3 linked regions of the Elephas maximus indicus genome follow. The main gene of each other region encodes a partner of the protein of the gene in region 3 in a complex. Links are inferred from orthologs where the notes say so. Each region holds a gene or a part of one and is shown on either strand. Other genes may lie near its edges. The genes, in order: NSMCE2, SMC5 and EID3.

Region 1 (10,476 bases), on a different chromosome or scaffold from region 3:
TTTATAAATACTAAATCAAAGCGGTCCACAAGTCTCCTCTCCTACAATTTAGCACTCAGGCGTTTAGCACTGCCATTGGGATCGGTTACTTGTATTCCGCAGCACTGAATGAGAATGCTTACAGCACTTAGCATACTGATACTGTCACTATGGCTAACAGGTTGTTCTCCTGCAATTTCTTGAAGGCAAGGGTTGCTCTCCTTTATTCAAGCACTCCTTGCTGAGTACCTCTCTGCCAGGCTGGATGTAACAATGTTTAAGCAACTACATTGCAATGCAGCGGTTCTCAAACCTGGCTGAATCACAGTGTCATCTGGGGTCATGGGGTTTGTGGTGAAGTAGGTTAGAGGCAGTCTCCTATTTTTAACAAGTTCCCTGGATGATTCTGATGTAAAGCCAGGATTGACAAAGACTGATCTTGTGGAAGACTGCAGCAAATAAATATAAAATGACGATATTCGCCTCTGTATCCTCTGTGCTTAACTCACTCCCTGGCATTGATGCACACGACAATTACATAAAAAATAACATGAGGGATATGAGAGGTGACGCCTGCCCCCTCCAGCTGCTTATAATACTGTTGAGAGAAAAGCCCTGAAGAAAAAGTCAGAGAAAGACGTGAAGTGCTTGAGTGTGTGGTCAAGATAAAGAAATACTGGGTGCAGCTGCCATTACCCTGTCAGCATGGAGCCTTTACTTGATCTTATCTTGGCTACAGTATTCTTTTTATGATAGATGATCTTTAAGAAAGTGGCATCGTCTAGGAAATCAGGGCTAGAGAAGGAAACCCAGAAGTTAGAAAAGACATAGTTTAGTAGATGACACTTAAAAACTTTTCTAGGGCTCCCAGCTGGAACAAAGGAGAAGACCAAGGATACAAGGGAAAGATTGGTCCAAAGGACTAATGGACCACAACTACCACAACCTCCACCAGACTGAGCCCAGCACAACTAGACGGTGCCTGATTATCACCGCCAACCGCTCTGACAGGGATCACAATACAGAGTCCCAAACAGAGCAGGAGAAAAATGTAGAAATACAGAACAAAATTAAAATTCAGACACACACACACAAAAACCCCAGGCTTGCTGGCCTGACTGGAGAAATTCCGAAAGTATGGCCCCCAGACATCCTTTTAGCTCAATACCGAAATCACTCCCAAGGTCCACCCTTCAGCCAAAGATTAGACAGGTCTATAGGGCCAACAGAAACCCTGCTGGCGTAGCGGTTAAATTTTACGGCTGTTAACCAAAGGTTCGGCACCAGGCGGTCCTTGGAAACTCTATGGGGCAGTTCTACTCTGTCCTATAGGGTCGCTATGAGTTGGAATCGACTTGATGGCCGAGGGTTTGGTTTTGGTTTTTTGGTTTATAGGGCCAACAATAACACATGTGAGGGATGTGCTTCATAGTTCAATCATGTATACGAGACTAAATGGGCACACCAGGCTGAAAGCAAAGACGAGAAGACAGGAAGGGACAGGACAACTGGACAAATGGAAACAGAGAACCCAAGATGGAGAAGGGGAGAGTGTTGACACATCGTGGGGTTGGCAACCAATGTCACAAAACAATCTGTGTATTAACTGTTTAATGAGGAACTAATTTGCTCTGTAAACTTTCACCTAACTCACACACTAAAAAAAATTCCTCTGAAAAAATATTATTAAATAAAGTTCATAATTTCTTAAAAATTTTTTTTTCCTATGGCAAAGAATTACAACGATGAATTTGCAATGCAGAGGGCAGACAGAGGGTTGATTTTTAAAACACGCAAAGCGATCTCACAAGCTGACAAGAAGAGAGCAAATAACCCAACAGAGAAACAGGCAGAAGATATAAAAGGTGAGTTCAGGGAAGAGTAATCCCAATGACAGACAACCATCCGAAAGATCCTTAGTTCACTGGCAGTGAAGGAGCTACAAATCAAAGCCAGTGCCAAAAACCACTTTACTTCCATTAGGTTGGCAATGATTAAAACGTATAATAATATCTGTTTCAGGTAGGAACTGGGGAAATACACTACTGGTGGAAATGTGAATTATTAGTCTTGAGAAAGTGAACCAATACTTACTGAAATTAAAAATATACACACTTTTTGACTTAGTAATCTCATGCCTGGGAATCTACGCCAAGAAATAAAAGCAGCAACATATAAAGATACAGGTCCAAGGATGCTTCCTGCAGAATTGTTAGTCATCTTACAAAATTTGAAGACAAAGTAAATACCCATTAGTAAGGAAACTGGAATTTAAGTAGCCATTAATAAGTAGGAATTAGAACTACACCGGTTAAGTTGGAGGATTTCTGAGAGCTATTACTAAGGGGAAAAATAAAGATGCAGAAACATAAATAGGATGCTTCCATTTTATAAAACAAAAAAAAAGTGATGTAATTAAAAATTATGAAAGTATACCATATAGTCCCCTGAAATAAATCAACTCAACTTGGTTTGGCCAAAGAATTAGTACATAGTTGATAAGAGGAAAAAAAAAAAAAAGAAAGAAAGAAAATCTTTTTTCTCTTATCGTAATTTTACTCTAAATTTTGTGTAATATAAAACTGGTACTTTGGGGGAGTACATGATTTCACCAAAACTGTCAATTTGATAATACAATATCCTGTACTTCAGAGTGGACTTTCATAGCCTGACCTTAAAATGGTAATTTTTGCACAAAAGTTTCAAGGCATCATTTTCTTCTCAAAGGCTCTCCCAACCATTTTTGTCACCATCTTTGTTGTATTTCTTGTCTCTATTGTTAATTTAGCTAGGTCATCATTTGTCAAGTTCATGGAAGCCTGTGTCTTTTGCAACATTTGCACTTTCACTCTGCACTGGTATTGTACTCTATACATATGATATTAACCATTAGGAAATAGCTAGCAAAGATAAGCATTTGGCCTCACAGACATCATTGGCCAGGAATATTTGAATAAAAGTAGTCAGCTCATTATCATTTTTATGTCAATACCATCTTTTATTTCCACAGGCAGTCTTACAACACATGGACTCAGATACTGAATGCTGAAATAGTGACTACACTGTACATAAAACCAGAATGTGGAAAGATGACAAAAATTACAAAAAATTGTGGCTTCTGGCTTGGGTATCTTCTGTAGCTTGCTTGCCACAGGGGAAGCAAATTGCCATGTTGTGAGACAGCCTTTGGAGAGGCTCATGTGACAGGGACTGAGGCCTGCCAACGATCACAGGAGTGAGCTTGGAAATGGGTTCCCACAATCCCAGTTAAGCCTTCAGGTGAGACCCTTCAGATGTGAGCCCATGCTCAGCTTGACTGCACCCTTCAGAAGAATCCCTGAGGCCAAGGTATTGGGCTAAGTCATACCCTGGCTTTCTAAACACAGAAAATGTGAGATAATAAGTAATTGTTGTCTTAAATTACTAAATTTTGGAGCAGTAATAATTATCTGGGTGAATGGCATTCCAGGTAGGGATTAAAAGTGCAAAGGCCTCAGGACAGGAATGTGCTTGATGTGTTTAAGGAACAGTAAGATGGCTGATGTGGCTGGAGCCTAGTGAGCAAAGGACAGAAGGAGAGATCAGGAAAGGTGGATGGGGTTGAGTTTGAGAGCAAGGAGATATGAGAAGCCACTAGGCTGTCTAGAGCTCTCATGACGGCATCCTATAATACACATAAGGCATGGATTTTTAACAAATCCTTTTAGTTTTCTCTGTGATGTTTGCTTGTTAAACCACACTGATCTCTAACAGGCTGAATTTCAGTAAATTCTGAAGGAGAACTTAATTTTCTGCAATGATATGGACTGGCATGGAAAATGAGAGAGGAAAAGGGAAAAATAAAAGACAACGGGCAAAACAGTCCCCTGTGGAGGGTCCTCTGAAGAACACCAAACTAAACCAGGTCTCAGCAGGATGAAAACTCTAGACACATTCAGAGAGGGGCAAGCGATAGTTAACAGGTCTAACTGCTACCTGGTTGTGGATAACGAGATAGGGCCAACAGTGGGGCCCTGGAGCAGTTTAAAACAAATCAAGTTAACTACTTTCTTCCTCACTCCTTCCCAACAAGCAGACAAACAGACACACTCAGCACCTTCAAGTACATATTCAGAGAAGCTGACGCCTCAAGTTCAAAACAAAACTAACTGGGATAATGACATAGACTTTTGCATGTCAATCTCTTGTTTTAATCCTTATGCCCTAACCCAAGAATTACAACGTAGCCAATTTCCAGAACAACATTAGTAGGAGAATAGGAAAATAAATGTTTGGCAACAGTGAGAGAAATGTTATGGACCTTTAATATATAGGTTAATCACCTTGTCTAAAATTCTAAAAAACAAATGTTTATCTTGACTTTTTTAATATAAAAGCAAGATATGGTTATATTTAATGCCCTTTCAGGGAAGTGCCTGTAATCTGCCCCAACTCATGAAGAACAGTTGAGTTTTCCTTCCCTAACACTGCTAGCATCTCTAGCTAAATTTTTGAACAAGCTAAAACAAGATTAACTGAAAGAAGGAAATCACTTAGTTACATTACCACGTACTAGACCATGTCATCTGCACTAGTTCGATTTTTCATGTTAACAAATGAAATTACCACAATTTGCACAAATTATTCTTTAGCTAGAGTATCTGGTAAACAGCCCCCACTGTTGACAGAAAAACTGGCCCTGAAGAACAGAACCTAGGAACCATCATTCAAGATGCCCAAACACCTTGCCTCCATCTCAGAGTTAGGAAACTTTACAGAAGGGGCAGTGGTTCAGCGGTAGCATTCTCGCCTTCCGTGCAGGAAATCGAGGTTTGATTCTCTGCTGATGCACCTCACGCTCAGCCATCATCCGTCAGTGGACGTTTGGGTGTTGCTGTGATGCTGAACAGGTTTCAGTAGAGCTGCTAGACTACGATGGACTAGGAAGAAAGGCCCGGCCATTCTGAAAAGTAACCAACGAAAACCCTACGGATCACAATGGCCTTACCCCCAGGCAATCATGAGGACGGCACAAAAGTGGGCATTCTGTTCCACTGCACACGCGCTTGCCTTGAGTCGGGGGTCCAATCGATGGCAGCTAACAACCACAGAGTATGGTGAAAATAAAAACTGTAGAAAAAGCTGTCTATAACCAGCCTTTGAGGGGTTCTCTTGATGCTAGAGATGAAGGAAATTCATAAAGACCGTTTTACTCAATATAGGCTGCATTACTACTAGTGTAAAAAAGAACCAGAGTCCACTCAATTTTCTAGTTTTTTTTTACAAGTCATCCAGAAAAGAGGTTGTAACTTTATTTTTAAGAATGTGGCACAAAGCTGGGCTTTTCAGTTTGGAAAGTACTCCTAGACAAAAGACAGCACGCTTTCATGAAGAAAGGTTGGCATCATCACACCATGAGTACAGAACCGAAATTCTGAAGAAAATTAAATTATTCTGAGACAAACTACTGTTTACCCTACTCAGAGGACAAAGGATGATGTCTATTTTTATCATTTCACAAAACCTCAGTTCCATAAAGAAGGAAGCACTGGTTTCCACAAATCCATTATCAAAAACAAAATATAGTGGTTGCTGACCAAGATGAAAGTGACAGGCATATCTGTTTCAGAAATGTTCTGAAATGACTCTGATCATTCTACTCGGATTTATGAATCCAGGTGAAGGAAAACTGGGGGTCCCTCACTGTGGGCAGAGGCAATAAAACTCGCCCCTCCCTCCCATCACCTATGTTTGAGAAAGAACAGTGCACTTCGAATTAGAAGACCCGATTCTATTACTGGCTCTGTCACATTTTTTTTTTTTTTAATGGTGAGACCATAGGCCTAGAATTCTTTTTTCGAAATGCAAAGGACAGGACTTTGGCGCTATTATGTCACCTGTGAGGAAATTAAGGTGCAGAGAGGGGCAGTGATTTGCCCAAATCCAGTCCATCACAGAACTAGAATTCAAATCCTGGTCCGTTAGACTGTAAAAGTTCTCATTTTTCTTGAGAGTAAAAAGAATTATGACGTTCGCACGGCACTGCTCCGTAGAACTTGGAAGAATCAGATAGGAGCCCAGCATGGAAACATCGCTTCCTAAAGCGCCAAAGGAATGTGCAACATTTTTTCCATCAAAGTGGAAATGAAGAGCCTGGACTGCAGCCCCCAGCCACCTGCTGCCGCCAAGTCCTCGGCCCTAGGGCCCTCCCTCCAGACCCCCCCACCCCGACGCCAGGGTGGCCCAGCGCCGGGACGGAGGACGGGAAGAGGAAACGTGCAGAGGAGGGCGCGCGCACCTCGCCCGACTCACCTGTCACTAGGGCCGCGCCAGTGGCGCTCATTCAGGGCCGGCAGTCGCACACGGACTCGCGACCTCCGCTCCCCCTACGCAAGGGTCCCCTTAGATCCCCAGACTGGTACAGCCACCGGGACTGACCCCGGCTTCCGCTCCCGGAGCCTCTGGCCGTCACGTGACCAAAGGGGCGGTGGGCAGAGCGGGGCGTCACGTGACCACGCTCCGGCGACGGCTGATGACGCAAGGGCCCGCTCGCCGTTCTCAGGGGCAGTGCAAGGGGGTTAGGAAAGGTGTGGGGTACCGTCATGGGAAGTCAGGGTGCAGCCGGACGGAGATAGGTCGGGCAGCCAGGTAAGGCAAAAGCGGGGTCGGCGGTGGAGAGGGTGGCGGGAGTTGTGTCCTCGCTCCTGGGCGCTCTGCGCGTGCCCTGAGCGGGAACTGTCGACTTGGGTTTGGTCCTGGCTCTTTTCACGCAGTGAGACTGGGGCAGTTTACCTCCCTTTCCTAGGCACCGTCTCTCCAAACTTCAGTCTTGAGTGTGTGGGGAAAAGATCACGAATTTTTGATCCAAATAAATCAGGTTTTAACTTTTTACAAGCACGGCCTTGGACAAGTCAAGTAAATAAACTCTTTGGGCTTCAGCTTCCTTTTCTCTTACGTAAATTGTTGTGAGGATTAGCGATAGTGACAGGGAAGCGCCCACAACTACTTTATGGCACACTGTTGGAGAAGGAAGCTCTATTGTATTTACTCCTATTTTTATTATAGGGTCGCTGTGAGTCCGAATCGACTTGACACGGTGGGTTTAGTTTTTTGGTCTTTACTCTTTCCATTGTTCTTTCTTCTTGGTGTTCCAGGACCTCTTCTTTTATCATTTCCTTTCTGTTTCGGAAACTTTTTCTTTAGTCATTCTTGTAGGGTAGGTTTGCTGGTGACAGATTCTCTTAGCTTTCCTCCACTTAATAACAGGGCCTTGAACCGGTTCGTTCTGGTGTGAAGCCTGCTGAAAATTTGCATTTCCACCTGTGATAGTCAGAATCAGAATCCACAGTTTAGCAACATCCCCAGGTGATTTTTATAGATCCCCAGGTGATTGTTCACTGGTTCCAAGCCTTGCTTGAGAATGTCTTGATTTCCCCTTTATTCCTGAGGGACATTTTTGCTGGACGTAGACCTCTGGGTTGACAGTTCTTTTCTTTCAGCACTTGGAAGTTGTTGTGCCATTTTCTTCTGGCCTTCATGGTTTCTGGTGAGAAACCTATCTTTCAAATTATTTTCCTCTATAAGAAAGGCAGAAACTCTGGTGGCGTAGTGGTTAAGTGCTATGGCTGCTAACCAAAGGGTCAGCAGTTTGAATACACCAGGTGCTCCTCGGAAACTCTATGGGGGCAGCTCTACTCTGTCCTGTAGGGTTGCTATGAGTTGGAATCGACTTGACGGCACTGGATTTAGCTTCTTCTTTTTTTTTTAATAGGAAAAGTTTTGTTTCTCTCTCACTGCTTTCAAGATTCTTTGTTTTTAGTGTTCTGAGGTTTGGATATGATGTGCCATGATGGTATTTCTTTGACCTTACACTATTTGTAGGTCCCTGGGTGGTGCTATGAGTTGGAATCAACTCCAGGGCGACCAGTTCCCCCGACCCCCGCCCCAGGTGGCACAAGTGGTTAAGCTTTCAACCACTAGCCTAAAGGTTGGTGGTTTGAAACCATTAAAATCACTAAACAGCACCACAGAAAAAAAGGCCTGGTGATCTGCTTCCATAAAGATTACAGCCAAGAAAACCCTATGGAGCAGCTCTACTCTGTAACACATGGGATCTTCATAAGTTGGAATTGACTGGACAGTAATGGGTTTAGTTTTTGAGTTTTTGTCTTGTTTGTGGTTCACTCAGATTCTTGAAACTGTAGGTTTATGTCTTTTGTCACATTTGGGAAGTTTTCAGCCATTATTTCTTTGAGCACTTTTTCCTCTCCTCTGGGACTCCAATGAGATGAATGTTAGATACTTTCGTATAGTCCCATGTGTCCCTGAGGCTCTGTTCTTTTTTTTTTTCCCCTCAGTCTATTTTTCTCTGTTGTCGAGATTGGCTAATTTCTATTCTTGTCTTCAGTTGCATTGATTCTTTTGTCTGTTGTCACCATTCTGCAGTTGGGTCCATCCGTTGAGATATTTATTCCGATTATTGAACTTTTTTTAGTTGTAAAATTTTCATCTGGATTGTCTTTATATCTTACATTTATTTGCTGTGACTTTCAGATTTTTTATTTGTTATAAGCTTGTTTATAATTGCTTTTTTCGGCATTGTTACGAAGGCCACTCTAAAATCTCTGTCCGATAACTCTAACATCTGTGTCATCTTGGTGTTGGTGTCTGTGGGTTGTTTCTCATTCAGGGTGAGGTTTAGCACTTCTTGGTATCACTAGTGATTTTGGATTGAATCCTGAACGTTTTGGGTATTATATTATGAAATGCTGTATATTATTTAGATTTTCTGTTTTAATAGGCCTTCTGTGACACTGAGCTGCTGAGGGAAGGAACAGTGGCTTGTTACTGCTGGATGGTATTGAAAGTCCAGTTCCCCACTCAGTCTTGTTATGACTGTGAAGGGGTGGGAGTGCAAGCTCCCTGCTAGGACTCCCCGGTACCACCGTGGCTGGGAGGGGTACGGTGCCTTGTTACTGCTCTCCACATAGCCTTCACCGTGGGAGTTGGGGGACGGCCGTGTTACCCCTAGGTGGTAGATGAAAGTCTTGGCTGCCCTCTAGGCTTCCTCTGACACCAGCAGGGCAGAGGTTGGGGTGGACATACAGGCTCCTCAGACAGTGTCCACTGACACAGCAGGAAGGGGGAAGAAAGGCTATGCAGGCATGAAAGTTCCAGCATCCCACTAAGCCTTCTCTGAGGCTGTGCCCGGAGGAGTGCCTCATTACAGCCCAGCAAGGGCGAAAGCCTAAGCCTTTGCTGATGGGGTTGAGGCTGCAGAGTTTTTGTTGTTGTTTGCGTGTTTTTGTGGTGTTTACCTAGAGTAGAGCAATTGTCTAAAAGTTTGGCTTGCTGCTGTTGTTGTTAGGTGCTGTCGAGTTGATTTTTGACTCATAGCGACCCCATGTGCCGGAGTAGAACTGCCCCGTATGGTTTTCTTGGCGGTTTTTTTTTAATCTTTTCAGAAGCAGATCGCCAGTTCTTTCTCCTGTGGAATGGCTGGGCAGGTTCAAACAGCCAGCCTTCAGGTTAGCAGCTGAACACTTAACTGTTGTGCCTCCAGGGCTCCTGTTTTGGCTTTCTAGGCCGCCCCTTTCTTGCTTCTTTGGTTAGAAAGAGCAAGCTATTCTTGGGATTTTTTTTTTTTTTTTGTCTGTGTTGTTGTCCTGCCTGGGTTGTTGGGTGCTCAACCACCCAGTCTGGGATAATGAGGCAAAAAGAAAACCCAAGGAACTCACCACTGTGTTCTTCAGCTCTCCTGCTCCTAGCCAGTCTGCCTTCTTCTTTCCACCTTTCAGAGTCTTATGTTGGTTTTACACAATGTCCAGGGTGTATAGGCAAAACCAGTCATCTAACTCAGACAGCCTGGCTCCAGAGGCTGCATGTTTAATTGCTATTCTATATTGCCTCTACAGTGTAGCTAATAAATATTTTAATACAGACATGTTTCCTATTATCTCTAAGCGAAAGTGATATTCCAGGAAGATACATCCTGCTTATACTGTGGGTTTGGCCCTGTTATTTAACTGTGGTTCATATAGTACAATTTTATAACCATGCCGCTCAATCTGTGATGTCCGGTATGGTAGCCACTTGCCACAGGTGGCTATTTAAATTTAAATTAATTGAAATTAAATAAGATTAAAAACTCAGTTCCTTGGTCACACTAGCCACATTTCAAGTGCTCAGTATCCACATGTGGCCAGTGGCCATCACATTAGAGAGTGCAGGTTATAGAACATTTCCATCATCACAGAAAGTTCTATTGGGCAGTGCTGCTGTAGATAGTTTAGGCTTACCCTAGAATCAAGATTGACTGGAAAACTGAATACTTAGATCATTCTGGTCCTTGAAGGATTGTGTTTTTTTGTGTGACAGTTGGTGCTATACCAGGGAAGCCCCCAAATCTACATGGCTTTGCACAATTGAAGTTTGTTTCTTTCACACGTAGAACCTGTCTGGTGAGCAGATTTCCTCCATGCAGTGATTTAGGGTCCCAGGCTCCTTTCATCTAGTAAT
Region 2 (10,915 bases), on a different chromosome or scaffold from region 3:
CAAGGGTTGAGTGAATTTTTCCTTATAAATTCTGGTTATTTTTATATATTTTTCTACAAAGCAATTTTGAGTTTATAGTGCCATCTTAAGGATAAAGCAACCACATAACCTTGTCATTTTGTCTTTTTTTTATTGCTAGCAGCACAAGACTCATCTTAACCAGAACCTGAGCAATGCCTTCCCCTTTTCTCTTCCCACTCCAGTCATTGTTAATGGTTCTTCTGGGCTGCCTTCCCTCTGTATACTTATCCTTAGTAAAATGTGTCATGATAAATGCCAACTACTTGTTTATACATCCATCTCCTCAAGAATGGTCTCTTATTCAATTTTGTACCCCTATTTTTTACTGTCTAGCTGGAAACCCTGGTGGCGTAGTGGTTAAGTGCAACATCTGCTAACCAGAAGGTGGGCAGTTTGAATCCACCAGGCGCTCCTGGAAACCCTACAGGGCAGTTCTACTCTGTCCTATAGGGTTGCAATGAGTCGGAATTGACTCAACAGCAGTGGGTGGGTAGACTAGCTAAGGAGCCCTGATGGTGCAGTGGTTAGTGCTCGGTTGCTAACTTAAAGGTTCGCAGTTCGAACCCACCAGCCTCTCCACAGGAGAAAGATGTGACGGTCTGCTTCCATAAAGATCACAGCCTTGTAAACTCTATGGGGTAGCTCTACTCTGTCCTATAGGATCACTATGAGTCAGAATCAACTTGACAGCAACAGGTTACTATCTAGCTAAGGAGCCCTCGTGGTCCAGTGGTCAAGCACTTGGCTGCTAACCGAGAGGTCGGCAGTTTGAGCCCACCAGCGGCTCTGCAGGAGAAAAGACCTGATGATCTGGTCCAATAAAGATTACAGCCTAGGAAACCCTATGGGGCAGTTCTACTCTGTCATATATTCACTATGAATCATAATCTACTCAATAGCACACAACAACTGCCTAGCTACCGTAAAGTAGAGGGCCAGTGAAAATGAGGGAAACCCTTCATCAGATGATTGACAGGATAGCTGCAACAATGGGCTCAAACATACCAACGATAGGATGGCATATGACCAGGTAATGATTTGTTCTGTTATACATAAGGTCGCCATGAGTCAGAGCTGACTAGATGGCAACTAACAACAACTGTCTGACACACTCAACAAATAGTTCTGGATTAAATAAACAAACGCTCAACTAAAGCATTTAGTTTAGTATAAACATGCATGTGGTTTCCAAAAAATCATAAGGCATATGAAAGTTCTCTTCGGTCCCTCAAAACTTCATTGGTTCTTTTCATGTATTTGTCAGGACATTACTCTCCCCATCTGTCACGGACTGAATTGAGTCCCCCAGATATGTGTCAACTTGGTTAGGCCATGTGTGGCAGTCCTCCATTTTGTGTATTATAAATCATAATCTCTGCCTGTGGTTAAAGAGGATTAGGGTGGGATGTAACACCCTCGTTCAGGTCACATTCCTGATCCAATGTAAAAGGATTTTCCCTGGGATGTGGCCTGCACCACCTTTTATCTCTCAAGAGATAAAAGGAAAGGGAAACTAGCAGAGAGTTGGGGACCTCATACCACCAAGAAAGCAGCACCAGGGGCAGAGCACGTCCTTTGGACATGGGATCCCTGTGCCTGAGAAGCTCCTCAATCAGGGGAAGCCTTCCTCCAGAGCCGACAGAGAGAACGCCTTCCCCTGAAGCCGACGCCCTGAATTTGGACTTGTAACCTACTGGACTATGAGAAAATAAATTTCTCTTTGTTAAAGCCATCCACCTGTAGTATGTCTGTTATGGCAGCACTAGATGCCTAAGACACCATCCTCTAATATTTCATAAATCACCAGGCTGCAGAGTTCATATTTGCATATCGTAAAATATGCAGCAAATTTAAACCCAGACCAAAAGTTCCATGAAGACTATGAAAAAATGTGGCAAGAAGGGGTGAGAGAAGAAATGGAGTAGATGTATACACGAGTGGGAGTAAGACTTCACAATACATAGCGTTAAAAATAAATAAATAAACATTGCTCATTTGAAAAATTAAATTTTAAAAAATATGACAAGAAATATATGCTTGAGAACATGAAGGTATTCTACAAGGTATGGGAGAGCGGACAATAACCTGAGCACCCCATCCACACGACAAAACACTTAAAAATGCTTGGTGAGATTTAACAAACTTTACTGTAAACAAATAACTAAGCTTGTAAGAAAGGAAAGGAAACCTCCTCCAAAAAAAGAAAGAGAACCGAAAAGCAGAGATGTATGAACAATTCTGGAGGCGGCTGTCAATCTGGGTACCTAGGGATTTAAGCTGTTGCATTAAAAAAGAAAGAAAGAAAGAAAAAATTACCCATAAAAAATCAGAAAAGAGCCTACCAAAGGTGAGGAGTCCAGTACTGAGATTCCAAATAAGGCTAAGAATCTTAAAGAGCTACATCTTCCATGGAAGAATACACCACAAAAAAAAAAAAATTTTTTTTTTTTTCTTTCCAACACAGGGAGACAACGATGCTTACCTTTCTCCATCTGGACTACGGAGTCATGGCAGGAGTTCCTTGAGGATTTCTAACTGGATTGTACAAGTCTGGAGCACAAACTGCCCTCCCCTCGTGTTCTGGGAATCCACAAGCTAACAATATAACATGAAAATGTGTCCCTGGCCAGCGACATCCTTGGGGCACCCGGTAGAAAAAACATAAATTTCTTTAGATGGCCATACACTCAACCCAGGCTGCACGGAATTCCCACATCAAAAACTGCACTGAAGAAAGACTTGTAGTTCAAAACTACCAAACACTTCGTGAGGCAATCCACAAGGCGCAACTCAGCAGAACTAACTACCCAAGCTTCACAAACAGGGATTTTTTGGTAGATACTTTAAAGTAAGTATTTTTAAAATGATTAAAGACATAAAAGCAGCATGGAAAACGTAACCAAGGCTACTTTATGAAAGAAGGTAGGCAAATTTAAAAAAAGCAACAAATAGAACTTCTGTACATGAAAAGGACAGTTATTAAAATTAAAAATTTGGTAGAAGAGGCAAACAGCTAATCAGACATATCTAATAGAAGAAAAATGGTGAACTGGAATATAAGGTAAAAAACCAGAATGCCATACAGAGAGATAAAGAAATGGAAGATATGAAGAGGAGGTTATGAGATGTGAAAAGAAACTGAGAGGGGTCCAGAAAAAGAGAATGGGAGAGAGGCAATATCAAGGGGAAATATTTGAGACTGTTTCAGAATTGGTTATAGAAAAAAATGCTCAACATCAGTGGAATTAATGAATTCAGCAGTGTCAAGATAACTACATACTTTTAGGGGTGCCACGAAATTTTTGAAGAATGTTAGGAAGAACTGCCAGAAATATCACTCGTTCATGGTAACTTCCCGTCACACAGAGTCCGACAAAAAGCAACTACGTACGTAAATCAACTATAGTAAATTTACAGGGTCTCTGTGAGTCAGAATCCACTGTGCGCCAAGTTTTTTTTTTACAGGTTTTATAGTAAATCTATTTAATATTATATAGTCATTAAAAATTATGCCACAGAAGAATATTTACAAGCATGGGAAAATATTCATAATATATTAAGTGGCAAAGAAGACGTTAAATAAAATACACGTAATATATTATGTATAGTATCATCTTTTTCTTTCAGGGTCAGGGAATACTAAAAAACACACACCAAAATTTTAAGTTTCATTAGCTCTGGGTAGAGGAATTATGAATAATTTTTTGTGTATGTTATTTTCCTGTCTCTCTCCTCATTCAAAAAAATTTCTGTTTAACACGTAAACATGTATGAGTTTTGTCATACACAAAATGTTACTCAGTGCCACCAAGAAAGAAGAGCTGGAAGTGGAGCATATCTTTTGGACCCAGCGTCCCTGCACTGGGAACCTCCTAGACCCTGCGTAAACTGATGCCAAGACACATGGAGATCTCCAAGGAACGTCAGGTCCACAGATACTGAAAGGAGACAAAGACCTTCTTGAACAGAGCTGACAGAGAGAGAAAGCCTTCCCCTAGAACTGCCCTGAATTTGGACTTCCAGTCTTCTAAACTGTGAGAAAATAAACTTGTTTGTTAAAGCCATCCAATTTTGGCAATTCTCTTACAGCAGCACTAGATAACTAAGAATTTGGTACTGAGACTCGGGCGCTGCTCTAACATACTTAAAATGTGGAAGTGGTTTTGGAATTGGGTAACAGGTAGAGGCTGGAAGAGTTTTGAGTTTTTTAATAGAAAAGGCCTAGATTGCCTTGAAGAGACTGTTGGTGGAACTATGGACATCAAAGGCAATTCTAGTGAAGGCTCAGAAGGAAGTGAAGAGAGCTGTAACATCGGAGATGGCACAGAAGGCAAGAAGCTGCAGCAGCAGAACCAGGAGACAAATCAGTAAAATTTTCCGATTTAAATAATGGTGTTAGAGCATGAGTGCTTTGCTGCTTAGTCTGAATTTGTGTAGTCATCACAAGTTCAAAAACACTGTTTTATTAGTTTATTTAAGAACTGATTGTGGTGGAAAACTGAAGCCTGGTTCCCTGCCTTCAACTCCCATTACTACTGCCTATATATATTTTTCCATTAGGACCAACCCACTGCTGTCGACCCCTAAATGTAATTATTTCTTAGAAGATTTGACTCTTTTAAGGCTTTTGAAGCAGTGTGCCAAATTACTTTTGAAAAAAATTTGACCAACCCACTGCTGTTGACCCCTAAATGTAATTAATTCTTAAAAGATTTGACTCTTTTAAGGCTTTTGAAGCAGTATGCCAAATTACTTTTGAAAAAAATTTCTACTGGTAATATAGAGGATGCCAGTATTGTGCTCTCCTGAGTACTGAGTGTTTTACCATTATTATTATTACTGCCTGCCATTTGAACAGTTTTAAAATTATTCTTTCAATTTGCCTTTTTTTCTAGTAGCTATGAGGAGTTCATACGCTTTTTAACTATTCTATTTTCATCGGTTATAACTTTGAGAAAGGTTGGATTCCATTTATGTGAGGAAGAAGCCTGGCCCTGGAAGAGAACTGTTGGTCCAGGAGTTCCACTACAATAGCTTTCTAAACAGCCTCCTTGCTTCCATATTTGACCATCTCCAGTAGATGCAACCAGAGTGGTTATTTAAAAATTTTAATTAGATCATGTCCCTCTCTTGCTTAAAGCTACCCAGTGGCTTTCCATTGCTTTCAAAATAACATCTAGGCTCTGTCATGGTGGAGCAATAGCTATAAAAAAAAAAAAAAAAAGGCCTCATGTTCAGTAGAAGGTCATGGAAAAATGAGTGAAACCCTCAACGAGATGGACTGACCCAAAAGCCACAACAATAGACTCAAACATACCAACAACTGAGAAGACAGCACAGGACTAGGCAACATTTTGTTTTTTTCTATTAGATTATATACAAGGTAATCGTGAGTTGCAGCAGACTGCATGACAACTAACACTAACAATATGGTGAGAAACGTTGTTATGCTACCTTGTTCACTACACTGCAGTCACACTGACCTTCCCTTTGTTCCTCAGCCATCCATGTTGTGCCCACCTCAGAACCTTTGCTCTTTCTGTGTTCTTTGACTGGAATGCTCTTTTCTCAGATCTTCACACATCTGGCTCTTTCTTGTCCTTCAGGGCTCGCTCTGCCATCACTTCCCCTGACGGGCCATCCGTGCCTCTACCATCACAATCATGGTTTCATTTCCTTCATAGCACTCAGCTTCATGTAGATGAGACATTAATGTTAGTTGGGTGACTAAAGATCTACCTAGGCCTGAGTGCCCATCTTTAATGAGGGGGGTGGTTAACTAGGTAAATGACAATAAGGTTGTTGAGAAGAATTACCCTTTCAATGAACCCTGTGCATTCCAGCTACCGGATTTCCAGAAACCTTGGGGGAGGAAATCTTACCGCGGAATTAAGGAGAGAGGGGGTGGAGAGTCAATGAAGATAAATCTGTGCAGTGTACTCTTTTCCATAATTTTGAGAGCGAGGGCACCTAACACGACACTCCATGAGAGAAATACAGAATCATTCGATTTTCATTTTTTTGAGACGGGGTACCTCTTTTGAAACAAAGGGGAATGGAACAAGAAGACGACAAGACTGAGACCGGTGTGACCCGGCGCACTCGGGCAGAGTCCCAGCAAGCCGGGTCGGAGGTCCCTCGCCTCGGACGACCCCGCGCCCCGGGCGCCACCGCAACCGCCCCTCCATTCCCTCCCGCTGCACGTGACGGAGGGTCGGGAAGCGCATCCGGTTCTTCGGAGCGCTGAAATGTTTTTTTAAAATACTAAAAGCAATAGGCCTTTTCCTGAGTTAAAAAAAAAACAAAAACTCTGGAAACATGCAGGAATGTGCAGAGACTAACGTGCCCCTCCCCCACATCCCGCCTGCTACTCGGCCAACCAGGCCTCCTCCGTCCGGCCGGGCGCGGCTGGGCGGGACACCGGACGCCGGCGGGCCGGAAGTGCGCAGGCGCCGGGCGGGCTCGCGGGCTCTGTCGCGCGCCGGGCAGTTCGCGCGGGAGCCGGGGGCCCGGGCGGCGGGGCTGCAGGTCGAGGGGAACGGAAGCGGCTGGGGGACCGAGAGGGAGCCAGGATGGCGACTCCGAGCAGAAAGACGTTGACCTCAAGCCCCCAGGTCTCCAAGAGAGTTCTTCCGAGAGATCGTTCATCGGAGGTCCCGAGCAAGAGAAAGACTTCTGTCCAGTCAACGCTGCCGCCAACGCCGCTGCTGTCGCCGCCAACGCCGCTGCTGCTGCCGCCGCCAACGCCGCTGCTGCTGTCGCCGCCAACGCCGCTGCTGATGCCGCCGCCAACGCCGCTGCTGCCGCCGCCAACGCCGCTGCCGCCGCCACGGCTGCAGTCGTCCGGGCCTTTAGTGGAAGGCTCCATCGTCCGCATCGCGATGGAGAACTTCCTGTGAGTGGCCCCGAGGCCGTGCCGCGGCGGAGGAGGCGAGTGGGTCCCCAGGCCGGGGGGCGCCAGCTGCGTGCGTGTGTACACGTCGGGGTGTGTGCGTTGTGACGGCCGGTGCGGGGACGGAATGTGTGCTGGGTTGTGGGTCTGGCGGTGAATTCGCCCCGAAGGTCCGATGTTACCGTGAGGCTTTTTACGTAGGCGGTGGAGATCGACGTGTTTGTTGTGTGGTAGATGTGTGTGTTGTGTATTGTGTTCTTTTTATGCATTCTGTCAACGTTTTTTGAAGGCGTCATGTGGCAGGCAGTGGACGTACGAGGGACTAGGTGTCAGCCTGCTGGGAGTTACGGACTATAGGGGATATAATTTATAATTCACAAAACTGTGGGCCCGGGGAACTCAGGAGACAGCACTTTAATCCGAGTAGCAGTGATGCTATGGCAGGTTCCTAAAGAGTAGGCTTTTGCCGGGTGGACAGAGGAGTAGATAAGATGGCACAGGTTGTCCTGGATGGGGGTTGAAATGTACAATAAAATTAAATCTCACTCTCAATGGTTGTTCCTCTCAACAGACCTTTGATTTCTCCAAATCCAGCGTTCTTCCCTGGTTCATTTTCTCTCCCTTCTGTCAACTAGTAATCATTTTAGATTTTAGTAAGTATGTTTTAATAAACATGCCATGTATTTGTTTAGCATCTTACATACAGTTCATTTGTTCAATGTCTGTTTTTTGTTGTTGTTGATTTTTTTTGTTGTGTTTCTTAAGCTTCCTCAGAGTGGAGTAGGGGGAACAGAATTGTGATAACAATACCGCCATTTTTCAAGCACCTACCATGTGCCAGGTACAGAACTAGGTGCTTCATTTACCATATGTTCTCTCTTTCTTTTCGCCTAACAATTCTCTGTATATTTCCATTGATGAGATAAGCACAGAGAGGTTAATTTGCCCAGATTTACACAACTAATAAGTAGCTGAATTGCTCTTTGCATTTAGACCAGGAAAGATAAATTAATCAATGAGGTCGATTCTGTAGATGTCCTGGGGGCACAAAAGAAGTGGTTCATTTTGCCCACAAGTGTGAGAAAGAGCTTTATAAAGAGGGTTCTGAAAATCTTGAAAGATGGGAGGCTTTCTTCCCACAATCAACAAAGGAGAAGAGCATTGCAGATGGGAAGAGCTGCCTGAACAGTTTGGTATATTTAGAAAACTTCCAGTATTTCAGTATGGCTAGAACATAGGATGTAAATGAATATGTGGGCAGAGGTGATATGGAAAGGTACGTAACCATTGAGGGCTTACGTGTTTACTATGCTGCAGAATCCCAGCTTGATCCTGTAGGCAAACAGGCTGAGTTTTAAGTGGGGACTGACATGTGGTTTGTGTTACTGTGGAAGCAGTGTGGGGGATGATGCAGAAAGGGTGCAAGATTGGAGGTTAATAAGGAGATTTTGTAATAAGGAAGCAAGAGATGATGGGGTTTGAACACAGGGGTAGTAACGAGGTATAGAATTAGAAAGAAAAAAGATTAGATAGGATCTGGCTACAGATTAATTGTGAGACCTGAGGAGAAGAAAGGAGTGCTGCATTTTTCCCAAGTCTGTTACTTGGTTAATTGATCAGATAGTGCTACTATTCAGAAGAGGGAGCAGTTTGGGGAGAGTAATAATAAATGCCTCTTGAATCCTGTGACTTGAAGTTTCCTGTGGAACATTTCAGATATTGAGTTATATATATATATATATATATATATATATATATATATACATATATATAAGGGTCTGGGGCTTAGGAGAAAGTTCTGAATAGGTAAGAGATTTTAGAATCAGGTATACAGGCGATTATTGAAGTTACGGGAATTGTTGAGATTCCTCAAAAGAAAATATAAGCAGGAATAGAAGGCCAGGTACAGAGCCCTTGATAAATGCCGACATTAAAGGGTGAGTAGGAGAGGAACTCATAGACCGAGAAGGAGCTGTTCAGGGACAGAAGAGGAGAATGGGGGGAGAATATTATCACAGAAGCCAAGGAAAAAAAGTGTTTGAAAAATATTCTCTGGTACGATGAAGTCAGATAACAGGACTGAAAAGAGCCCACTGAATATTGCAACTAAGAAATGTTTGATTTTTCCAGTCTTAATGGTCTGACTGAGACTAGAAGGACCCCAGAGGTCACGGCCCCCAGACCTTCTGTTAGCCCAAGACTGGAACCATTCCCAAAGCCAATTCTTCAGACAGGGATTGGACTGGATTATAAGACAGAACATGATACTGGTGAGGACTGAGCTTCTGGGCTCAAGTAGACACATGAGACTATGGGGAGCTCCTGCCTGGAGGGAGATGAGAAGGCAGAGGGGGACAGTAGCTGGCTGAATGGACACAGGGAATACAGGGTGGAGAGGAGGAATATACCGTTTCATTAGGGGGAGAGCAGCTAGGAGTACATGGCAAGATGTGTATAAATTTTTGTGTGAGAGATTGACTTGATTTGTAAACTTTAAACTTTCACTTAAAGCACAATAAAAAAATTAAAAAAAAAAAGGGGATGTTTGATCTTCGATGAATTAGTGGAAGCAGAAAACTTTGTAGGCCATAGAAGAATGAACAAGGGATGAGGAAGTAAAGATTGGATGTAAAGAGGAGAGAGAAAAGAAGTCAGCTGGAAAGTGCAGAACCAGGTGAAGTTTTTGTTGATTTTAACAATGGGAAGACTTTGAGTTTTAGAAGAGGAGTAGGAGAGGTAGGTAGGCTTAGAAAACCAAAATGACCAAGAAGAAAGCAGAGTCAGGGAAGGATTCCTGTGAGAGAACCAAGTCCAGTGGGGTTGGGAGTAGATGTTTCTAGGCAGAAAAAAATAGCACATGCAAAGGCTTGGAGAAAGGAAAAAGTGTAAGTTGGTCAAGAAACTCAAAGAAGTTCATTATACAGGTAGTCCCCAACTTGTGATGTGGTTTCACTCTGATGACTCCGTTTTAAGTCACTTCTGACATAAGTCGAATACCTCGTTTTTGTTTTCACTATTATTGCCTTGTATAGGGTCACTATGAGTCAGAATCAACTTGACGTCAATGGGGTTTTTTTTTTTTTTTTTTTTGTATTAGTAGCGTTTTAAGTCTGATCTGTGTTTTGGGGGATTGGAAACATTACATATAAACATCTGTGAGTGAACACCTAAGAATGATAACATCCGCGAATTACACACTGCAACATTGTATGTAGTACATATTAGGATAAAATATACCAAAAAAAGGACCATCGTGTGATTCATCATAACTTGAATATGTTGTTAAGTTGGGGACTACCTGTGTCCAGAATTTAGAGATCTGAGTAGAGAATGAGAAAGGGGGTAGAAAGAAGAGAAAGACAGGGGGAAAAAAAATGTTGCCTTTGAGTTGATTCCAACTCATAGAGACCCTATAGGGCAGAGTAGAACTGCCACATAAGGTTTCCAAGGAGCAGCTGGTGGATTCGAACTGCCAACCTTTTGGTTAGCAGCTGAGCTCTTAACCACTGTGCCAACCAGAGAAAGATGAGGCTAGGGCTAAATTGTGAATTAAAGAGATTAGATTAGGGGAGAGAGGAGCTAGACAGGACTAAAGAAGTCTTTTGCAGCTATTCAGATAAGAGATAATGAGGGCCCGGGTAGTGGCAATAGGGATGGAGAGACGGGTGAATTCAAGAGCTAATTAGGAGGGTCACCAGCATGACTTATCGATTGATTCAATGATGGGAGCAGAGGGTAAGCAGAGGCAAAGGAAATCAAAGATGGTGTAAAACTAAGGCCTGGGTTTCTGATTCTGGAGCCCTGGTGGCACAGTGGTTAAGTGCTTGGCTGCTGACCAAAAAGGTCAACAGTACGAATCCACCAGCTGCTCCCTGGAAACCCTATGGGGCAGTTCTACTCTGTCCTGTAGGGTCACTATGAGTCGAAATCAACTACACAACGATGGGTTTGGGTTGTTTTTTTTGGTTTAGGTTTCTGATTTGGGGAATGTCATGAATGACA
Region 3 (10,633 bases):
TAATAGACACAAAGATTAAGACTAGCTCTGCATCTCTGACATAAAAAAACCAAAAACCAAACCCACTGTCGTTGAGTCAGTTCTGACTATCCTCTGACATGGAAGCCAAAAAATTATCCCTGGCAGGATTCCTCCTTTTCCAGAGATAAGGAATTTCTGGGAAAGCTGTGAAAGAACAGAGGAGGCAAGGAGTGGCCAAACCTGACCTCGTACCCTGAACAGGAGCAGCTGAAAAAGTAGATTTGGGCAGAAAAATAAGTCAAGAATTGAAATAAAGAACAGAATAAAGGAGGAAAATTTTAGGGAGTATAGCTGCAACAGTCAGCCTTCCCAGGAGCCTCCAGTAAATGAGGGAGCAGAGGAGATAACCAGAAAAGCAGGCTGGGGCCAGACCCTGGAGGGTACAGAATACCAAGCGAAGGAATGTACACTCTATCCTGGATGGGATCGAGGGGCAGTGAAACAGCCATCAGGAAGATGACTCTGGCAGCAAAGGGAACAGAAAGGGAGGGAGATCAGAAGCAGGAGGCCAGTTAGAGACTGCTGAAATAGTTTAGGCAAGAGGAAATGAGGCCCTGAAATTGTCTGGGCAAAAGTTAATAGAGGCAACTCGCAGATGTGTGGGAAATAGTTGAGTCCTGGTAAGTGAACAAAGAGGAAAGGCAAGATCAAATGTGAAGCCCCAACCATGTAAGAATAATAACGCTACACAGCAAAGAGGTCTGTGTTGTCACTTGGTAGAAGTGGAAGAAGCGAGTACTTGATAGGGGTGTAACACTTTATACCTGCATAGAAGAACAGAGAAATATGCTACCTATGGCCAGGACCTGTATGTCCACGTGTAAAATCGAAACTGCAGAGCTGCTAAATGCTGGCTCTATGAATAGAGTTCAACGTGGATTTCAACATGGATTCAACCAGTAAAATTTTACTATTCTGTGTACCAGATAAATTTATTCACATTCCTAACAATCCACTTCCTCTTTTAAATCTTGTTTGTAGTCCTTATCCCCAAAAGTTCCAAATTCTTATTAAGGTAAGCCTTCACTACCACCACCACCTCCAGTTGCCCTCGAGTCGATTCCAACTCATGGTGGCCCCTGTGTGTCAGAGCAGAACTGTGCTCCACACAGTCTTCAATGGCTGGTTTTTCAGAAGTAGATTGCTAGGCCTTTCTTCTGAGGCACCTCTGGGTACACTCAAACCTCCAACCTTTTGCTTAGCAGCTGCGTTAGTTAACCATTTGCACCACCCAAGGAGCCTGTTTATTTCCTTTATCTTCTCCTTTAGGTCTCAACCCTAAACCAGGCCAAAAGCAGATACACTACTAATCCTCCACCACGGAAATGGAATTACCTCAAAGAATCAAAGGAAATCAAGTTTTCTGGAAGTTTGGTACAGTACTGAGTGGAGTGGCTGGAAAGTTATTCAAATACCACTTATTTCTGATGTCTATTCATTAACAGTCTGGTTTCTAGTAACTTTAGAAGCCAGACTTGAAAGGAGATCTACCTTTTGTTCAGTATCTACCTCCCTAGGCTGGAACGTCACACCGCTGAACCCGACTACAATATGATCACATCTGAGCTCCTACTCCGACTGCCTGCACAATTCATTTGGATGTTAATCACCCACTGTGTTGTATCTGTCATCTCTATTACTGCCTTAAAGAAATTATCTAAATTGTGCTACTAGTTTTAAGGCAGTTTTGAGACAAGTTACCTTAAACTACTAAGTCTTAACTCTGTCTGGCACTTAATATTCCAACAAGGACTTTTTCATTCAGTTCAACACCACCAATGGTCACTTATATGAGTGGTTTCGAAATCTGGAATTCTGAAGATACTGATCTACGTATGAGACTCCCTATAAGAATGCTTGTAATCTTGGGCTTAAAAACTAAGATGTTTATAAAAGTCAGATGTCTTTGAGCAATAGGAACTCTATTCATAGGTTCTAGCATTTAGCAGCTCCCCAGTTCTAATTTTACGCATGGACATACAAGCCCTGGCCCTTAGGTAACACATTTCTCTATTTTTCTAAGCAGGTGTGAAGCGTTACACCCCTGTTGAGTTACCATTTGCCATGGTGGTGCCACAGTTAAGAGCTATGGCTGCTAATCAGAAGTTTGGCAGTTCCAATCTTCTACCGCTCCTTGGAAACTCCATGGGGCAGTTCTACTCTGTCCTATAGGGTCACTATGAGTCAGAATCAACTCGACAACAATGGTTTTCAAACTACTATCTTTGTTTTCTCCAATTCTAATTATTTTATCAACTGATCTTGACCAAACTCCTCTAAAGCAGCCTCAAATTTGATATTCTTAAGAATTATCTGAGGGAGTTTTTTGAAAAGAAAATAAAGAGGGTCTATTCAAGAAGAACACAGGTAAAGCTCAGGTATAAAAAAAAAAAGGTATACACATTTAAAAAGCACTCCAGGGGATTCTACACTTTTTTTTAAACACACTTCTTTAAAGTCTTTATCCTTTAGGTAGTCATCTAGGCTCACCAGATCCTGCCTTTGGGATTCTCTCTCCCTCTTCTACAGTAGTGCACTGTGAAAGCAAGGTAGGTTTTGCTGTTGTTATTTATTGAGAAGAAGAGGGAAATGGACATGAAGGGAAGGAACAATATTAAAAGGAGAAAGGCAAAAAGGATATTCTAAAGACTCCCTCACCATTACTTGATTAAGCAGCAAGTAAAGTATGAAGTCTTAACTTAAAGGTATGAACTTTAAGATTAGGACACAACTTCTATAAGTACTCACTCTCCACTAATTAAATACACTTCTCCACTCAAACCCAAAGCTCCCTAAAGATTTATCACCGAATGTGGATAATAACTGGCTGGAAATCCGCAAACTTCAAATTGATAGTCCTTACCCCTGTTGTGTCTCTTGTTCCATTTCTTAGCACTCATCAAAAAACAAAAATAAATCAAATGATACATAGTAGAGTAGTAAATTTACTTAAAAGGGATGTGCTAAATGATTTTTGTTTTAAGTATGCCTTGGTGGTATGCTTTTCATTCATGGTATTGCACCTCATTAAGGATCTGAAATTAACTATGATCATATGGAACTGAAAACATCAAATCATGTTAATAAAGTGGGTCCCAAAGCTTATAAAAATGGTGATTCTTTTTACTCCCATTGATGTTAAAACCAGGAGCATCTGTAGAATTATATAAAGACCAAATGCCTATGTAACTTTTAAGCATAAGTTTATGACACAGGTGGATAGAATAGAATAATCTGACAGAAAGGAGTATTAATAGACTTGTCTCATTTTACTTGCAAACTAAAGGTCTGAGTAACAATGTATTTCAAACAAAGTTAAAAGTCTTCTTATCTCCTTTAATTATTTCCCATTCACTTGCTGTCTTTGAAGTCTAGCTCCATTCCCTACACCCATTCTTAAAAAGTTAAATGAGATTCTTTCAGAAGCAAGAAAAGGTAATACATAAAAATATAAATTGTTAATAATTTCTTAAAGGCACACACACCTAAACACATTCTTTCATTCAAATCAGGCCTCGGGTTTACTGCTAAGTAGACAATGTTCATGTATCAGTTCCATTTCTTAAAAACTACACAGCTACAAATGGATGAGGACTAGAACTTTCTAAAATGATAACCAGTAGAACATCACTCATACATCTAGCCTTAAACATGCATTTAGCTTCCATGCATTTTTCCAGCGGTCAGTGGCTGGTCATAAGGGGCGGAGGGTGTCCCATCCTGTCAAGAACCAAAAGGAAGATTTCTTGTTCCCTTTTTTTTTTTCCTCCACCCAATTGTTAGCTCTGGGCTAAAAAAAAAAGAGATTTCTGAAAAGATATATACTCACCCCAGGAGTTTTCTGGTTGCTTTCTTCAGTGAAGCCTGGGGGTTTCTGGCCCCCCCCCCCGCCCCCGCCCCCACCCCGGGGAACTAAAGAGGAAGAGACAGGGGTGACTTGAGGAGAATAAGAATTTCCTGACTCCCTTTTCACAGTACTTCCCTAAAAGACGCAAAATCAAAAGTTTACACAGCCGCTAAAATTTTTTAAGTTATTTAGACTGACTGGGAGGGAGGCAGGGGGAGAGGCAATTTTTTTAATTTATTTTAAAATATGAAAATTGTTACATATTCCCGTTTCAAGCTTCCCGTCTTTAAATTTACCCATCGTCTGATCAATGTGAACTAACAATGTTAGTTATCCCACAAGTGTTTCTTTGTCATTTTCTAAGGATGGGCTCCGTTTTCAGGTTCATTCACAGAACACTGCCTTTAACAGGAAGCTGCCACAATGGGCTCGCTGAGCTCATTCCTAGTTAAGGCGGGTAAAAGAAACGTCAGTATCTCCTACCTTCAAGGTCTGATCATGGCCGCCTATCTTTCTCTGTTTCACAAACACCACGGGCACTTTGGTTTCCAAGGTCAATGCCGAGAGCGCTCCTTCCAGGACCAGCCCGTCCTCTGTAGCACAAAAAAAGCAGACAGTGGAGTCTGTAAGGTCTTTCTTACAGCCGACCGAGGCGGGAACTGTGGAGGGGCGGAGCTTCCGGGGCCCGGGGCCTTCCAGTGCACTGTGTGCCCTCTGGAAAGGCGGCGGTGACTCCCCTGCAAGTTAGCATGACTTGCTCCATTTCTGACCATGACTAAAGCCTAGTCAGATTTGGATTTTGGACCTGGACAATCTCTGTATTAACTGAAAACATGGCCTCAAGGCTAGATAGAAACGTCAGTTAAATCATAGCAAGTCTCTGCTAAAATTAACCGTCCCGTTTTTCCAGCAAGAATTTAAGACAAAATTTTCTCAGCTTTCACAAAACGCTTCCCCATTTAATTGGGCTTTGAACTCTGCACCTATATAGAATGCCAAAATCCAGCTTCCAATGTTTTCTAGAAATTTGAAACCACGAAGCAAAATTACCAACACTGCCCATTTAGGGTGCTTTTACTTAAGAACTTCGAAGCACCGCATCAAAATTCTAGATAAGACCAGAACTAATAATTCAGTTTTACAAAGGGTGAACTGAGGCAGAGAATGAGTCAGTGATAGAATTAAAAACAATTCAGTTACAACGATGTCAGGGCCATTCATGAGACAAAATCAACACTCAAACGTACATTTGTTTAGCGTTAACAATAATGACAATAGCAGCTAACGCTTCCATAATGCTTTGTATGTATTAAACATTTAATCTTTACAACTAGCCTTTTGAAGTAGGTATTATCAAGCCCCAGGTCCATTTCACAGATACGTTAACTGAAACACAGAAAAGCTATGTAACATAACCAAGAACACAAAGCTAGTTAGGGAACAGCAAAACCAGAACGCAAACCCAGGGAGTGTGGCTCAGGTTTATGCTCCGAACCACTACCCAGTACTGCCTGATACACCGAGATAATAAACACTGGAGTCCAGTAGCTGCCGCACTTCATAATCTCTGTCAAACTGGGCAACTCACTTGAACTTTCTGAGCCTTGCTTTCCCCCACCTGTAAAAACATGGCGATTACATATGCTTTGCCAACCTCTCAAAATTTCTGATGATTAAATGATGTAAAACTTCCTTGGGAAGGCATTCTTACACATTTACACTTTCTTAATGCTGTCCAGGATCTGTCAATCTATTCATCGGATTATTATCTACATTTCAAGAGTCGTGTACTAAGAAATTATACAAAAACCCATTTTCTCTGATATTCTGCAAACAAGAGCTAGAGGAAGGAAATCATCAGCCGACAGAGTGCCAGCCTCCCCTACCATATGCTGAAGCGTTAACTGACCAAGATGAAACTCATCTCTGAACGCTGCCAAGAAGCTCACCTGCCTTAGAAAAGCCTCATCCCACTTTTGGGACCCGCCTTAAAATATCTCCCCTTTCCCTGGAATCATAATGCACCGCACAGGCACAAAGCTCACACTCCCTGCAAGCAAACAGTCTCCAACGTGCTCACAGGCTACAGGCCTAGCGCTTTGTCCGTTTTCAATCACCGCAGAGCTTACTATGTTCGAGCAGTCGGACGTCAGGCTCTTCCTCAGAAGGGCCACCTTAGACTCCGAGGCACATGCCGGACTGAGGCGAGCTGAGGTGAAAGGGTTGGTGGTTTCTAATAGCTACGAGAAGCCACGCCCTTCCCTGAGTCGGAGTGTTAGCAGCCAAAGTCAGAATGACAAAGCAAAAATCCACTTCTCGTGCAGCGTTGGCAAGCTAGTCTAATCGGTTTAGCAAAGTGGCATCTCCTAACTGGGTGACACCATATCCTCTTCCTGCTCACAGCCGCCCCCAACGCAGGAAGACAGCAAAAACAATTTAAGAAATGCTTGGAACCTGAACCAACACAAGAGTGTGTGTGTGTGTTTAACTGAACAAAACTGGATTATGCCCTAAGGCAGTAGCTCCACAATTTTGCTGCCGGTTAATGATCACGTGGGGGTCTTTAAAAAGTACTGAAGCCTAGCTCCCACCCCCCCAGGCCTTCTGATGTAATTGGTATGGGGTGTGGCCTGGGCATCAGTGTTTTTTAAAGCTTCTCAGGTGATTCTATTGAGCAGTAAAGTTTGGGACTCATTGTGTTAAAGTAATGGATTAGTCAGTTTGGCAATTCCCTAAAGGAAGTTATAAGGCTTTTGAAAGAAATGTCTAGGCCGTTCTGACTAATTCTGAAGTGACAAATTCTCACCAACACACAAATTACCTTTGGACTACTTCCTCCTTTTCCCTCTCAGGTTTTGGTTTCTCTTGTTTGCCTCAACAAAAACTGAGAATAGATTTAACTCCAGCCATGCCAAGCCACCTGCAGCTGCGGAAGTGAGCCATGCTCTCTAATACTTCCTTGGTCCTGCTGGCATTCTTACTCAGCACCTCACACTAGTAAGCGGCTACCAATATTTGTTAAATGAATGAATGAATAAATGTCTTTCCTACTTCTTTGGAAAATGCTGTACTCAAGCACACTCAGGTGAGAAGGTTGTTGGGCCCTTAGGGCTGTCAGAAGCCACACCTCTGAACCATAGCCAACTCCTTTGAGCCCCTTCTAAGGCTCAAGTTGGATGCTTGGGTTAGCCGATAGCCTTCTGAATGGCCTTCTGAATGCATGCACAGGCACACCAAGCTCAAGCCTACTGCCATGGAGTCAATTCTGATTCATAGCGACCCCATAGGGTTTCCAATACTGTAAATCTTTATGGAGACAGACTGCCACATCTTTCTCCCAGAGAGCCTTTGGTGGTTTCTATTATTTTAACCACTACACCACCAGGGTTCCTTACACACAGGCACACGCTGCAAGCTAAATTGGTGGGTAATAACTTGAGTTAATCAAGACAGCTACCTGGCCAACTGACTGGAAGAGATCGATATTTATGCCTATTCCCAAGAAGGGTGATCCAACCGAATGCAAAAATTATCAAATAATATCATTAATATCACAGGCAAGCAAAATTTTGCTGAAGATCATTCAAAAGTGGCTGTGGCAGTACGTAGAAGGGGAACTGCCAGAAATTCAAGCCGGATTTAGAAGAGGATGTGGAACCAGGGATATCATTGCTGATGTCAGATGGATCCTGGCTGAAAGCAGACAATACCAGAAAGATGTTTACCTGTGTTTTATTGACTGTGCAAAGGAATTTGACTATGTGGGTCATAACAAATTATGGATAACATTGTGGAGAATGGGAATTCTGGAAAACTTAATCGTGCTCATGAGGAATCTGTACCTGGATCAAGAGGCAGTTGTTCGAACAGAACAAGGGGATGCTGCATGGTTGAAGGTCAGGAAAGGTGTGCGTCAGGGTCATATCCTTTCACCACACCTGTTCAATCTGTGTGCTGAGCACATAATCCGAGAAGCTGGACTATATGAAGAAGAACGGGGCGTCAGGATTGGAGGAAGACTTATTAACAACCTGCATTATGCAAATGACACAACCTTCCTTGCTGAAAGTGAAGACTTGAAGAACTTACCGATGAAGATTAAAGACCACAGCCTTCAGCATGTATTGCAACTCAGCATGAAGCAAACAAAAATCCTCACAGGTGGACCAATAAGCGACATCATGATAAATGGAGAAAGGATTGAAGTTGTCAAGGATTTCATTTTACTTGGACCTACAATCAACACCCATGGAAGCAGTAGTCAAGAAATCAAAAAATGCATTGCATTGGGGAAATCAGCTGCAAGAGATCTCTTTAAAGTGTTACAAAGCAAAGATGTCACCTTGAGGACTAAGGTGTGCCTGACACAAGCCAAGGTGTTTTCAATAGCATCGTATGCATGCAAAAGCTGGACAATGAATAAGGAAGACCAAAGAATAATTGATGCCTTTGAATTGTGGTGTGGAAGAAGAATATTGAATATACCATGGACTGTGAAAAGAACAAACAAATCTGTCTTGGAAGAAATACAACCAGGATGTTCCTTGGAAACAAGGATGGCGAGACTAGGTCTCACATACTTTGGATGTGTTGTCAGGAGGGATCAGTCCCCGGGGAAGGGCATCATGCTTGGTAAAGCAGAGGGTCAGCGAAAAAGAGGAAGACCCTCAACAAGATGGATTGACACAATGGCTGCAACAATGGGCTCAGGCATAGCAACAACTGTGAGGATGGGGCAGGACCGGGCAGTGTTTCGTTCTGTTGTGCATAGGGTCACTATGAGTCGGAACTGACTCGATAGTACCTGACAACAACAACTTGAGTGCTTCACCTCATTCTGCGTCCTTAGAACAGAGGATGGATCTAAAAAAAAAAAAAAAAATTTTTTTTTTTTTTATCTAGCACATAGACATTACAAGGTGATTTAAGGAATAAAAAATGAAAAATGTGATGAAAGGAAAGCTGAGGCTAAGGGAGAACACTGACATTTATTTATTCCTGGCTGCTGTGCCAACCTTGTGTTAACCATTTTTTATGTCTTATTTTGTCTACACAATAACCGATGAACCAGAGTCATAAACGCCTCACTCTAAAAGTATATATAGGAACTACAGCTTATTTCAAAAGCATGTCTGAGGAAAAAGGGATTTTAAAATCATTTAATTTGAAATGATGTACTAAAGGAAGTGATAAGGACTGATTTCAAAAAGCCTTTCCACAGACAGCACCTTGTAGGCACAGACAAGTCAGGGTTGCTATGGTTAATATTTTCTTTTTTTTAATAGCATACCAAAAAAAAGCTAAATAAGGCTTTTTAACTTCACATTGTTCTTCAGTGAGCAAATTAAATAGCAAAAACCGTCAGAGCAGCTCATGCATTTATTCTAACAAAGAAAAAAATTAAATTAAAAAAGAATCACCATTTTAAAACACATTCTTCGCTTCTTCAAACCATTCTTGCTGCTGTTAAGGAGACCCAAGTGTCTTACCCTTGTCACGAAATATAGAGTAGAGCTCAGTAGTTCTATTAGTTGCTGGTTAATGGAAAAAGAGCTTCATCCTCAACTATTTTTTATTATGCAGCATTTGTTCTAGTCATACATTCTCACATCTCCTAACTGTGCTCATTTTACCCCCTCCCAGCCCAAAATTATCTTCCCTCCCTAAGGGCCTACTCCATCAAAGCTCATCTAAAATGTCACCTCCTTTTCAAGGGCTTCCCTGATTACCATCTACTGTTAATCAATCCTTTCTTCTTCTATGTCCACACACACACAAAAAAACCATTGCAGTCGAGTCAATTCCGACTCCTAGCAACCCTTTAGGACAGAGTAGAACTGCCCCATAGAGTCTCCAAGGAGCACCTGGTGGATTCAAACTGCTGAACTTTTGGTTAGCAGCTATAGCACTTAACCACTATGCCACGAGGATTTCCCAAGTACCTAATAATAATTACAAATCTTCTAAATCCATGAGAGCTTTAGGAAAGCAAACACCTTGTTGTATTTATCTTGTCACCTCAGAACCTAGTATATAGTAGGTACTCAGAAAATGCTGAAAAAAAGACTCTTTGTACTTGAGTTGTCATCTACACACACTTATAAACAGAACTATGCAGGTGTTTGAGCAAGTCGTATTGCATTAAACTACTATTCCACCTATAATAAGCCTCTCTCTCACACATGCGCGTGCGCACACACACGCATCACTGAGCTGAAACAATCTTCCTGACACCCAAATTTTCTCTGCTTAAACCTAGCTAGGGTTCAGAGCTTTCTAAGGCCTGTGGGGTTTACATTAACTTTACCCAAAGAATTTGGTCTTTGTCCTAGGTTTCTAAGAGATAACCTCTAAAACCTTGAAAATTCTCCATTGATTATCTTTTATGAAGCATCCAGACTACACCTGAGGGTTTACGCTAATTAAATGCCTTCTGGGTGGGGCCTAGGCAGCTCAAAAAAACCAGTGAGTGACATCAACTAGGGAGGGTTGGGGCATGATTAATCAATCATGCCTACGTAATGAGACCCCAAGAAAGGCTCTGGGCACAGAAGCTTCACAGGCTTTCTGGTTGCACATGGGAGGGTAGCCCGTCCTTTGGGACACGGAAGCTTCATGATGGGAATCCTCCCATACCTTGTCCTATGTGTCTCTTCTTTATATTGGTCCTGAGTTGTATCCTTTTTGCTGTAATAAAACCGTAATCATAAGTGTACTGCTTTCCGTGAGTTCTGTTGAATCATTCCAGCAAATTATCAAACCCGA

The links.
Region 1: EID3 (region 3) and NSMCE2 share a complex: the UniProt entries of both Homo sapiens proteins name them as parts of the SMC5-SMC6 complex. The link is inferred for Elephas maximus indicus from reciprocal best matches to the Homo sapiens genes EID3 and NSMCE2.
Region 2: EID3 (region 3) and SMC5 share a complex: the UniProt entries of both Homo sapiens proteins name them as parts of the SMC5-SMC6 complex. The link is inferred for Elephas maximus indicus from reciprocal best matches to the Homo sapiens genes EID3 and SMC5.

The regions. Positions count from the first base shown.
Region 1 is NC_064833.1:18,043,193-18,053,668, reverse strand, and holds the start of NSMCE2 (E3 SUMO-protein ligase NSE2), read left to right. Parts: upstream 1-6,504; 5' UTR 6,505-6,606; intron 6,607-10,476. UniProt on the Homo sapiens protein: E3 SUMO-protein ligase component of the SMC5-SMC6 complex, a complex involved in DNA double-strand break repair by homologous recombination. Is not be required for the stability of the complex.
Region 2 is NC_064827.1:85,475,049-85,485,963, forward strand, and holds the start of SMC5 (structural maintenance of chromosomes protein 5), read left to right. Parts: upstream 1-6,470; 5' UTR 6,471-6,593; coding exon 6,594-6,916; intron 6,917-10,915. UniProt on the Homo sapiens protein: Core component of the SMC5-SMC6 complex, a complex involved in repair of DNA double-strand breaks by homologous recombination.
Region 3 is NC_064822.1:170,975,096-170,985,728, reverse strand, and holds the start of EID3 (EP300-interacting inhibitor of differentiation 3), read right to left. Parts: upstream 4,346-10,633; 5' UTR 1-4,345. UniProt on the Homo sapiens protein: Tissue-specific component of the SMC5-SMC6 complex, a complex involved in repair of DNA double-strand breaks by homologous recombination.